Notamacropus eugenii: one gene and its partners. The protein of the gene in region 3 purifies or fractionates together with the protein of the main gene of each other region. This does not show direct contact. Links are inferred from orthologs where the notes say so. Each region holds a gene or a part of one and is shown on either strand. Other genes may lie near its edges.

Region 1 (3,817 bases), on a different chromosome or scaffold from region 3:
AAAGGTAGTAAAACTTGTGCTTTGTTCCTTGTCTTAATGACTCCCCCCATCCCTTTTATATCTTTTGTGCAAGGTGACTTAATGTTTCTAATCGAACATTTATTAAGTGTTGGCTCTGACGAAGGCACTGCACTCGATGCAGCTTACATTCTACCAAGGGAAGGTGACATGCACTCATATTTGTGATCTCTTCAGGGTGGGAGTTCCTCCAGTGAGGGACATAGCTATTCATCTAGTCTTTCCTCATCCTGTGGGACTTTCATCAAAGTTCCCCCAAAAGTTTCCCACGAGTCCACCCGCCATGCTGGAAGGCTTCTTCAATTTCTCCCAACATCATGAAGGTACCATGGAGCACTCTAGTGTCTGTCATCCCTCGCTCTTGCCATGTGAGCAACCCCTGTTGTCTTACTGTCATAGAATTCCTTGAAGTCATTCATGCAATAAATATTTATGAGCTGCTGCTTTATGCCAAGAACAGTGCTAGGTACTGAAGATACAAAGAAAACAACAAATCCTAGGCCTTCGAGGAACTTACTTCCCACTGAATGAAAATACACACATATAGGCAAGGAAATACCAAAAAACTGAAGAGGGAAAGAATATTATAACTGAGGGGATCACCAAAGGTTCTGAATAGGGATTTATAGCTGAGCTGAGCCTTAAAGAAAACTAGGAATTTTAGATTTTAAGAGACAGAGATAAGGAGGGAATATGTTCCAGAATTGGAGGTACTGAGATGGGAAAATGTTGACTTTGGAGAGATATCAAGCAAGGCAGTTTGGCAAGGATACAAAATATGCGAAGGGAAGTCATATGAAATGTCTGAAAAGGTGAGTGAGAGTCAGACAACAAAGAGCTCTAAAGACTGGATTAAAGAGTTCACTTTATCTTAGAAGCAAAAGGGATCAACTGAACACTTTTGAACAGGGGAGTGATACAGTGTGGAAGATAGAATGAAAAAGGAAACCAATTAGGAAACTATTGAAATAGAGGGGTTGAGGACCTGGATGAAGACAGCTACAGTGAGAAGTGAAAAGGATAGAGTCGAGAGATGTTGTGTAGGTGAAATCAAGAAGACTTGGCAGCCAATAGGATACAGAAGCAAGGGAGACAGAGGGAACAGTCAAGGATGACTCAGGGTCTGAATCCTACATACTGCCACACAAGGCTTTGTGGATCTCCACAGTGCTCTTCCCCAAATTACTTTACATATAACACTGACATTTTAAGATATTTACTTAATCACATATATGTTTCCCTCCAAATAGGAAGTAAGCTCCTTGAGGGCAGAAGCTTGTTTTTTGTGTTTGTATCCCCAGTGCCTAGTGCTGTGTCTCTCCTATAGTAGGCATTTAATAAATGCTTGTTGAGTAAGTGATTTTCAGTGCCAGGAAGGATTTGCAGGAAGGGTGGATTTAGAGGGAAATAATATCTAGCACATTACACACACACACACACACACACACACACACACACACACACACACACACACACACACACACATACATACACATCACTTTAAGGTTGACAAAATGCTTCACATGCTACCTCATTGGATCCTCAAAAAGATCCTGTGAGATGGTTCTATTATTATTCCCACTTTACAGATGAGGGAATTGAGGAAGAGAGCAGGTAGGTGACTTGCCCAGGATCATCCAATAAGCAGGTTTCTGAATCAGGATTTGAATTCAGGTCCTCCTGAATCCAAGCCCCGTATTCTATTCATCAAGTCTCCTAGCTGCCTGCCACGATGAAAAACATGGTTAAGTTTTGTTTTGGAAATGCTGAGTCTGAGATAGGAAAGGGACAAGCAGGTGCTGATGTCCAGGATGCAGCTGGGGGTTCCAGGGCAGGGGTCTGGGTTGGATTTGGGATTCATCCGTGTAAAGATGATAACTGATCCTTTGGAAGCTATGGCGATCACAGTACAGACAGTATATATATATCTATGTATCTGTACAGAGAGTATATATCTATGTCTATATGTATCTCTCTCTATATCTATAGATAGATGGATGGATGGATGGATGAATTAGATGACGTAGGTAGATGATAGATATAGATACAGATATAGATAGACAGACAGACAGACATAGATACAAAGCTACAAACACGGTCTTTCAGGTGGGGGCCGGTCAAGGATTTGGCAGAGAACGGGAGGGGACGGCCCCCCGGGCATCCAACAATGGGGAGAGCCGCAGAGGCCCAGCGGGATGACTGAACCAAGGGCTCGGAGTCTCAGGTCCCTCAGCGTTTGCTCAGGGGCAGCTCGGCCCCCTTGGGGCGGACCCCACTCCCATCCCGGCTGCTCCTTGGCCACGTGTGAGGTTGGGCTGCTGGTGTTCCCTCCCAGCTCTGGGTTTTTTCCTTTTGAATGCCGGGCTGGAGGCGGGCGTTGTAGGCGGCCCCTCTCTTCCAGCTTCTGAGCTCGCAGCCTGCCTCCCACAACCGCCATCGTTCCTGCCTCAGTTTCCTCCCCTGTAAAATGCAGGTCACCGACCCCTCCCCCGGCTGCTGAGGATCCAAAGGCGCGCTTTCAGACCTTCAGATCGCCCTCTAAATGCTACCGGTTGTCATCATCATTATCATCAATACGATCGCCTCGGTGCCCTCATTAACCTCGGAGACACTTCCGGTCCTCCGTCTACACTCGCCGCGCTCACTCCTCCGCTCCCCCGCGGGGCTTGGGGGAAGGACATCCCTGGGCCCGCCAGTTTCGGGGGTCGGGGAGCTGCGGGGGGACAAAAGGCCGGGGAGAGGGAGCGGACGAGGCCAATACTGACCTGACGTACGGACCGCAGCACTGAAGCCAGCGCGGAGGCCGCCATGTTGCCGGACGCGGGATTCAAAGGTCCGCAACTTTATTGACACCGAAGGAGAGAGGAGCAGGCACGGGGAGGCGGGGCCTCGTGCGGGCCAGGGGGCGGGCCAGGGGGCGGGCCAGGGGGCGGGCCAGGGGCGGGGCAGGGAGAAGGAGAGCCCTGGGGAGCGTGCGCGAGGAGGATGCGCAGTGAGAGTGCTCGACTACGGCTCCGCCCCCGTGACGTCACCGCGCTTGCCCCTCTCTGGGTCGCGCTTCAGACCTAAGTGTTTAAAACGCAAGAGTGCAGGGGTGAAAGTAGGTGACGTCAGAAAAACCCAAAGGCGCCCAGCCCTCTGGTGGTCTGGCGGGCCGCCCCCTAGGTGCCAGGCGGCCAGGGACTAGGAGAAAGGGACAAACGTGTCCCTGCCCCGAGCGGGGGAGGGGGAGACCCCGTGCAGGTCACTGCAGTTAAGACACAAGCTGACTGGGCAGCCGGGGGTAAAGTGCGGGTCAAATGGGGAAGACAAGTCATGCCAGCGCGCCAGCCTCAGTTTCCTGCTCTGAAAATGGGGCCGATAATAGCAGTGCCCACCTCCCAGGGCAGGGACGACGCTCGGCAAACCTTAAAAGTGTAAAGGCTGGGGTTAGGGACCGGGCAGTGCCCCCGGGCTCCAAGGCTGGGGTTAGGGACCAGGGCAGTGCCCTCGGGCTCACATGCCAAGGCTGGAGTTAGGGACCGGGGCAGTGCCCTCGGGCTCACATGCCAAGGCTGGGGTTAGGGACCGGGGCAGTGCCCCTGGGCTCACATGCCCCTCTGTAACATGGAGGAAAACAGGACCGAATGAGACAAGACTTAGAAGTGCTCTGTGAGTGCTAACCCTCCTCCTCCTCCTCCTCCTCCTCCCCCTCCTCCCCCTCCTCCTCCTCCTCCTCCTCCTCCTCCTCCTCCTCCTTCTCCTCCTCCTCCTCCTCCTCCTCCTCCTCCTCCTCCTCCTCCCACAGTAAGCGGAAGGG
Region 2 (3,817 bases), on a different chromosome or scaffold from region 3:
GTTTGGCTTCTAGGCCAGTCCACCATCACAAGGGGGGGAGCGGACCGGACAGCTGCCTCTGTGGGTGCTGCCACCCTGCCTCTTCTGAAGACCCAGAAAAGAAGGTGCATGCCACCCACAGGCCTTGGCATCTTTACTTCAAACACAGAAGCTCGGTGACACAGGGGGGATGCAGGCCTTACACTGAAGCTGAAGTCTGACAGCAGGAAGGGCAGACAGACTGCCGGACACACAGGTCTGGAGGCCGTCACACCAAGAGGGCTGGCCACTCAGCAGGACAGCTCGGCCATGGCCCCCCGGGGCTTCTCCAGCGGGTGAGTGACCTGCTCTGGCCCGGCGCTCCAGCCTCTGAGCCACTACCTGCAGCCTTCCCCCCCTCCAGACTGCCAGAGAGTGCCAGCAGAGGGCCCTCGGGCTGCCAGTGTCTTCTCTTCACCCCGGTGTTCCAGGCTCACCGTCCTGTGCACACACCGTGTGACTTTCCATTCCTCTTTTGTTCACACTCGTTTTCAGTTCTTCAGAGTTGCCTCAGTTTCCCCCTCCGTAAAACAGAACTGAACAACCCCCACCTTAGAGAGGAAGGCCTTAACGAGGCCTGCCGGTCTCCAGGCCGGCCATCAACGTCAGTTATGGCTCTCAGGGGTAGGACTGCCGGCCCACCCCCCCGGGGGCCCCCGTGCCACGCGCACTGACCCGGGGGGAGGGGAGGGGTCCGAAGCGTCAACAGAACACCCGGGAGGTCGCAGGAAGTACCTACCTGGCCGGCTCCCGTCTTTGGGGGGCTTCCACCCGCGGGCCCGTCTATCCTAGCAACCACCGGAACACGCAGTCCCCCGAGAGCCCTTCGCGGGCACGTTTCTCCTCCCGACCGGTACTTTACAGACGGCCCCTCAGCCCAGACGTCGCCTACGTCCGGCAGGCGCAAGGGCAGTCGGGAGAACCATCGAGTGGCACAGAAGGCCCAGAGCGTCACCACCTCGGCTCCGCGCGGCCTAGCGTCTGGCCGAGACTCCTTCCTCCTCCCTTCCCCCCGCCCTTTCCCTAAGACGCGCGCCTGCCCAGCCGGGACCGACGCTCTAGGAACTGGCTCTCCCCGCTCCCTGTTCTCCCGGAAGAAGATTAAGCGCGAGGAGCGGGAGGAGGGGAGGGGAGAGAGAAGGCGGCGGAAGTTCGCTCCGCGGCCTTGTTGGGCCGCTCCCTTGGGCTCTCCCGCTTCAGGCTCCCTCACACGCGACGCCTCCCGCCCGGCCTCCCGAGACCCTGACGGGACGTCCTCGGGACGGTGGAGACGGGAGGTGCCCTCTTTCCCCTCCCCCAGCCTCCACGCCCGCCTCGCTCGCGCGAGCTCTAGCGTGCGTGTGCGTCAGCGCCGCAGGCCGGCCCGCAGCTCCCCGCGCCGCCTCGCCACCCCCTCCCCTCGCCGCTTCCGCCCTTTCCCGCTGCCGTGAAGCGAAAGGCGCGGGTTTCCCGCGATCTCCGGCGGCCGCGGAGGCGGAGGGGCGCGCGGCGGGCAGGATGTCGCGGCGGCGGCACAGCGACGAGAACGACGGTAAGTGAGCGGGCGGCGGCGGCCCGGGCCGGGCGGGCGGCCGGGAGGTCGGGCCGGGCGCGGGGCTGCGGAGCCGGCCCGCTCCCGGGATCCCGCTGCAGGCCTCTGGTCCGGGAGCCCCGGCTTCCAGCGCGGCCTCCGCCGCTCCCAGCCGTGACGTAGGGCCGCTGGGGCCTCAGTGTCCCCGTCTGTAAGTGGGCGTGATAACTTAGGATGTACTCAGCATTGTTGTGAAGATCAAGGGCGAATATACGTAAAGCCTTTGTAAGTAGTAAAGTCTTGTGCTAACGTTAGCCATTATTGATAAACGCAGATCTATCCGAGACCCCCCGGGGTTCACGCCCCGTCACCTCCCAGCACTGGCTGCCCGAGCCAGGACCTCGGTCCGCATCAGGAGATGGAGCAGGAGGGGCCTGTTTGACTTTCACCCACGTCTTGTTCTTATTTCGAGCATTAACCAAAAAATATGAAACTGGCATCACTCATTAGATGAAGGTTCTTCACCTTCTCGTGCGCGTCGTGGGCTCCTTCGGGGCCTGTGGACCTTTTTTCAGATAACGTCTTTGAGTGCATGAAGGAGGATTTCCGAGGAAACCAGTGATCTGAAAATGTGGTTATCGAAGGATTTAAAAGGACAACAGCATTACTGACTGGCTTTAAGAGCCCCTGCTGTGGACAGAGCTGTCTGTCTTCAGGGGCGTTCTCTTGTGGACACTTAGAAAGGATGGGCAACAGGTTCACCGTGTGACACCTATCATAGCTGCGCTCTTTAAACAGAATTCTGTAACTTTATTGGTAGTCTCTAGAGGGAAAGGACAAGACCCTGAGTGATTCTTCAGAGCAGGATTCCAAATTCATGTTCAGGGAAATACATATTATGGAGACTTGTTGAAGCTGCAGTAACATAACTAGGCAGGTATCAGAAGTTTCTCATAAAAATGTAAAAATCTCAGAAAATGTTCTATGTGACTGTAACAACAGTAATAGTATTAATCTAACAACTAAGATTTATTTTAAAATATGCATTTTGAAATGCAATATGATTCTGGAAGGGACTAGTGTTTTACATTTCATTTGTTTTGGTTCAGGTGAAAGAGCTAATAGCTTCGGATCCAGACAACCTGGGTTAAATCTGCTGCTTAATACCTTTGTCACATTTGGCAGTTCATCTTACTATGTAAAGTTAGGTGGCTGTGCCTGTGAATCTGAATATTTATTAAGGGTTGTTTCTTACCACACCTCCAGGATAAAGATCTGGTCTCAGAGTCTGGGAAGACCTGAGTTCAAATCCTGTGTGTGACTGGTATTGGTTTTGTGACTCTGGGTAAGTTGTGCCAGGCAACCTTCTAAGACTTTTAAAGTAGCTGAAATAATTACCTGTTAGTTTTGGTTCAAGGAGAGAATTTTTGCTATTGGAATCTCCCTGCAGGGATGAAATCTTAGATCTGGATTTGATTGGTGCTAACTGTTGTGCTAGATGCCTAGAAGTAGAAAGATGAAGTATGATCATCTGATCTCCAACAGTTTAAAATCTTTTTTGCCATACCTTTCCTCTGTAGTGCTCTGAAATAAATATGTGATTGTTCTCTTTATCAGAGAGGTTGACAATGAACTTAGGTAACATTTTTTATTCATTTGAACTAGAGATCTTGTCAGAATGAGCAAATTTAGAGGTGATCTGCAAATCTGTATTTTGCTAAAGTCCATCTCCTTGGATTTTCAAAAGTTGTGTCAGTGGATGCCAGGCTTTATCGTACCCTGTCAAACTGGAAAGATTTTGAATGTAGTCCCAGAGATGAGGACAAGCATAGGTAAATGAGGAGTCACTCAGGTTGAGCACTCCAATGATGATTTTTCTGGCTACAATTGATTGAAACTGTCTGCTAAGTATATTTATCCACTGAAGTATATTTCATGTCTTTTACAAGTAATTAAATACACTAAATATGTGGTTTTTAAAAAATATGTAACATGCACAGTAATTAAATTACATTGGCATAAGAGTAATCCCTATTTTTGTCTCTGGAGGGAACTTTAGTTTTTTACACCTTTTTCAAGTTGATACTTTTCACTACCACTTTTTTTTAAAAAAAGGAGATTCCCACAGAGATGTGAACATGAAAAAAATATGTCTTAAATGGAAATATACAACTATAAACCTATCATCACTTAACATAGCAAATATATATTGTAAATCATTCTCATTTTAATTTAAAAAAAACATTTCAAGTGCCTACTAAGTGTAGGAAACTGCCCTTAACTGGGGAT
Region 3 (3,600 bases):
GTCAAACAGAATAATAAGACCACCTACATCCCTGGGTTGTTGTGACAATCAAATGAGATAAATTTTGTAAAGATGTGTGCCAACCCTAAAGTGCATTAGAAATCCTAGTGACTGTTAGTAAGGGACCTCGGTGATCAGTATGCCCATAACTACAGCAACCCCTAGTGGCTGCCTAGCCTCTGCTCCCTGGTGAGCCTCCAGAGGCCTTACTTTTGTTCTGACCCAGTGCTCGGGGTTCTGCCCTCCCTTCTGTCATGAGGGAGGGAGTCCTTCATATGCCGGGAGAAACCCACCACATTCCCTAAATCTTCACTTCTCATGAACTCGGGCAGAGGACAAGGCGACCTGAATCACCTGCCTAAGTGGCTGACCCCAAGACTAGGCCACAGAGCTCCACAGGGGTGGGGGTGGTTACCTAACACCTCGCTCTGGACTGTTTTCTACAACACCTACTTCTCATCTTGTGCATATGAAAGTCAATTCAAGTCCTGGTGCTTGTCCTCCACAACATTTCATCTTACTTTGGCCAGCCCCAATAGTCTAGCTTATCAAGATTTTTTTTCTGGTTCCTGATTCTGTCACCCAATACATTCACTACCTCCTAGCTCTGTGTCACCTGCAAACATGGTTAGCAATGCACCAACAGAAATGATTGAATCCCTCACTGGTGAAGATTCTCTCCAAGGGGCCCCTACTGAAGGCCTCCTTCCAGGATCAAAAAGAATTCCTCTGCACTACCCTTGGGGGCTGGTATTCAGCAAGTGCTGACCACATACAAGTGCATTCATTTCAAGAGCACCTCGTGCCACCTTTAGCAGGAGAATTACAGAAGAGACTCTCACCAAATGCTCTGCTGAAATCTAAGTGAACTAGACCTACAGCACTCTCTAAACCGCCACATTCTTAAGGCTGTAACAAAGGGAAGAGGGGTTTTCTTGTCTGTCCTCAGCAAAAGCAAACTCAGGGGTCTCAGCTGTTTGCTAACCATCCCTCTGGTCACATTCCACAGCAGTGAAGAGAAGTCAGCCTCCCTGGCACCCAGCTCTCTGCCCATCCTCTGCCCTTTGCCAGTCCTACAAAACTCCTCGGCGTAAACTTGAGGCATTCCCTCAGATCTTCCAAACATCACTACCAGAAGGGGCCGAGCCCCCTCACTCCACAACGGAAGCACCCAGCCTGCTGATGCCCACGGAGCTGGAATGGACCAGCTGAGCCCAATTCTTCCAAAGGAACCCAGTGATCTGACTGCCCCCAAGGGGATTCCTGCCGCTGCCTGGGTCTGGGCCCAGTCCTGGAAAGGGGTGGTGGGAGTACTCACCTCAAACTCCCGGATGTAGGGGGCAATGCCGCAGTAGGGCTGGTTGTGGTGCTTCTCATGGGGCAGCTTTTCCAGGGGGGGCAGGTAGGGGATCGGGTCTCGAGGAGCAAAGAGGGCCAAGAGGTTGGGAGGCAAGAACTGCGTCATGATGCCGGGTGTACAGGGTCTGGAGGGAGGAGATGGCGGTCACAAGTCTGGGGGACAAAGGCACCTGGCCTCCACCTCCCTTCCCCGCTGGGCCCAGCCTCCGGGGGTACGCAGGGACCCTCAGTGACAGGCCCCCCGGGCCCACCTCCCACGAGGGGCTTTCCCGGGGTTCTAGGGGGCCCAACGTGGGCAACAACGACAACGAGGGTGAGAGCAGGGCCTCGGCGCCGCAAAGGGCTCTGGGTAAAGGAGGGGGCTCCTGCGACATAGGGGGACGCGGGTGAGGAGGGCGGGGAAGGGGCTGGCGGGCCGAGATCCGTGAGGAGGGGGTCTGGGCAGAAGTCCCGACGGGCACAGGGCACCCCGGGTACAAGGGGAGGGTCCCAGAGGATTCAGGGGGCAAGGGGGAGGGTCCCCGACGGCCGTGAGGCATTGTGGGTGAAGGAGGTGCGGGATGTACCGGCTGGCGCAAAGACGTATGGGTAGCGAGAGGGGTCCCGGAGGCCGCAGGGAGTTATGGGTAAGGGGGGGACAAGCGGGTGCAGAATGGTGCGGGTGGGGGGGGTGCCCCCGGAGGACGCAGGGAGTTGTGGGTAAGGGGGGGGGGGTACCGGCGGGCGCAGGGAGTTGTGGGTAACCAGCGGGGCCCCGGCCGCCAGGCCGGCCTACTGCACTTACCGGCCGCGCGGCGGCGGCGGCCCCCTCGGCCGGGCGGGGCTCCCGGGGAGGGCGGCGGCAGCAAGAGCGGCGGCGGCGGCTCGTCGTCGTCCTCCTGGAGCTCGGGGGCCTCGTGGCGCGTCGGGGCCGAGGCCGGGGGCGGCGGCGGGGCCGGCAGCGCTGTCGGCTCCGGGGCGCTCGCTCCGTCACTCCGTCACTCTGCCCGTCCGTCCGGTCACGGCTCACACAGGCACCAGCGCGGCCCGGCGATGAGAGACGCACCGACCAAGGGAGGCGGGTCTCGCGAGAACTTGGCGCGAGCGCGGGGCCGACGGGAGGCGGGGCCACGCCGAGATCCTTGCGCGCCCGCGAACCAGTACGCACGCGCAGAATCGACTGGGGCGGGGAGGGCTGCCGGGGAAGAGTCCAGCGCGCACGCGCCGATCGTCCTCCGCTCGCCCTTTTCCTTCCCCGTCCCGGCCAACGTTGTCAGGGCGCATGCGCCTGCTGCTTTCTCCTTCGCCCTCTTTCGTACTCGCTCAACCGCCGCCTTCCGCGAGCTGGGTGAATCACACCTTTCTTCGCAACCAGAAGTGTCCTTTCACCAAGAAAAGAGTCCTCCACGTGACACACTCATCCAGTACAGTCCAGCCCCGCTTTACAGAAAGAAAGGGTCACGTTCCCCGGAGGGCGGGGCCGCGATCCGTCCGGAACGACGAAACTAAAGCCTGTGCAGCCTGGGACACCACAAGGGCGCCCTCTGGGCGTTAGGGAGCTGGGGTCCCTTTCAGAGCCCCGGGCTGCCCCGTGGCGGGGCCGGGCTGCTCTCTGCGGGACCTCCAGCTCCGGAGAGCCCCAGGCCCCCCAGGGTCGCGGCCCCAGAACGTTGCCAGGGGGTAGCCTGGGGGAAAGAGGCCCCCTGGTCCTTGGGTCTCTAGCCAAGCATCCCCTGATGATCCCAGAACTCCAGCAGAGCTGCTCTCCCTCCCTGGGCTGCCCCGGATGTCCTGGGCATAAGGGCCTCCAGAGCTCCAGAACTTCACAGGCTTTCCTCACGCCCCAGGGGATGGTGGGAGTCAATCAAAGTGTTCTCACCTAGTGGAGACAGCAGACACGGAGGATCTCTCCTTTTCTTTCCCAAAGAGGTTTATTTCCAAGTAAAAGCAAGAGCACAGTAGGGATTCCTCCGAAGCCCCCCAGGCACGCTCTGCCCAGGCCCACGCTTGGCACAGCTCTCACCCAGCACGGATCTGACCAAGCTCACGGCCAGATGCGGTGTGCCTTCCCAGGACCGCAGGGCAGGCTGGAGGCTTCTCATGGGCTGCGTTTTGTGAGCCCTTTCTGTGCTAGGTGCTGGGCTGTGAAGAGTAATACTGCTATCTGACGTTCATGTATCACTAACGTTGGCCAAGTCCTCCACTTTGGACTAACTCGATCACAGCAGTCCTGTGAAGGAGGTGCTCTTGTTCCAGTTTTTC

The links.
Region 1: the proteins of SNRNP70 (region 3) and MRPS14 purify together in Homo sapiens (affinity purification with mass spectrometry; 3 studies listed by BioGRID and IntAct, with this or other methods). This does not show direct contact. The link is inferred for Notamacropus eugenii from reciprocal best matches to the Homo sapiens genes SNRNP70 and MRPS14.
Region 2: the proteins of SNRNP70 (region 3) and NCBP1 purify together in Homo sapiens (affinity purification with mass spectrometry; 3 studies listed by BioGRID and IntAct, counting the BioPlex papers as one, with this or other methods). This does not show direct contact. The link is inferred for Notamacropus eugenii from reciprocal best matches to the Homo sapiens genes SNRNP70 and NCBP1.

Annotation. Positions count from the first base shown.
Region 1 is NC_092873.1:471,548,217-471,552,033, reverse strand, and holds the start of MRPS14 (small ribosomal subunit protein uS14m), read right to left. Parts: upstream 2,933-3,817; 5' UTR 2,829-2,932; coding exon 2,784-2,828; intron 2,764-2,783; exon of another isoform or gene 2,543-2,763; intron 1-2,542.
Region 2 is NC_092874.1:314,404,357-314,408,173, reverse strand, and holds the start of NCBP1 (nuclear cap-binding protein subunit 1), read left to right. Parts: upstream 1-1,362; 5' UTR 1,363-1,515; coding exon 1,516-1,549; intron 1,550-3,817. Other genes in the region: TSTD2 (thiosulfate sulfurtransferase/rhodanese-like domain-containing protein 2), read right to left, coding at 472-486. UniProt on the Homo sapiens protein: Component of the cap-binding complex (CBC), which binds cotranscriptionally to the 5'-cap of pre-mRNAs and is involved in various processes such as pre-mRNA splicing, translation regulation, nonsense-mediated mRNA decay, RNA-mediated gene silencing (RNAi) by microRNAs (miRNAs) and mRNA export.
Region 3 is NC_092876.1:12,376,316-12,379,915, reverse strand, and holds the start of SNRNP70 (U1 small nuclear ribonucleoprotein 70 kDa), read right to left. Parts: upstream 2,274-3,600; 5' UTR 2,144-2,273; intron 1,485-2,143; 5' UTR 1,466-1,484; coding exon 1,319-1,465; intron 1-1,318. UniProt on the Homo sapiens protein: Component of the spliceosomal U1 snRNP, which is essential for recognition of the pre-mRNA 5' splice-site and the subsequent assembly of the spliceosome. SNRNP70 binds to the loop I region of U1-snRNA.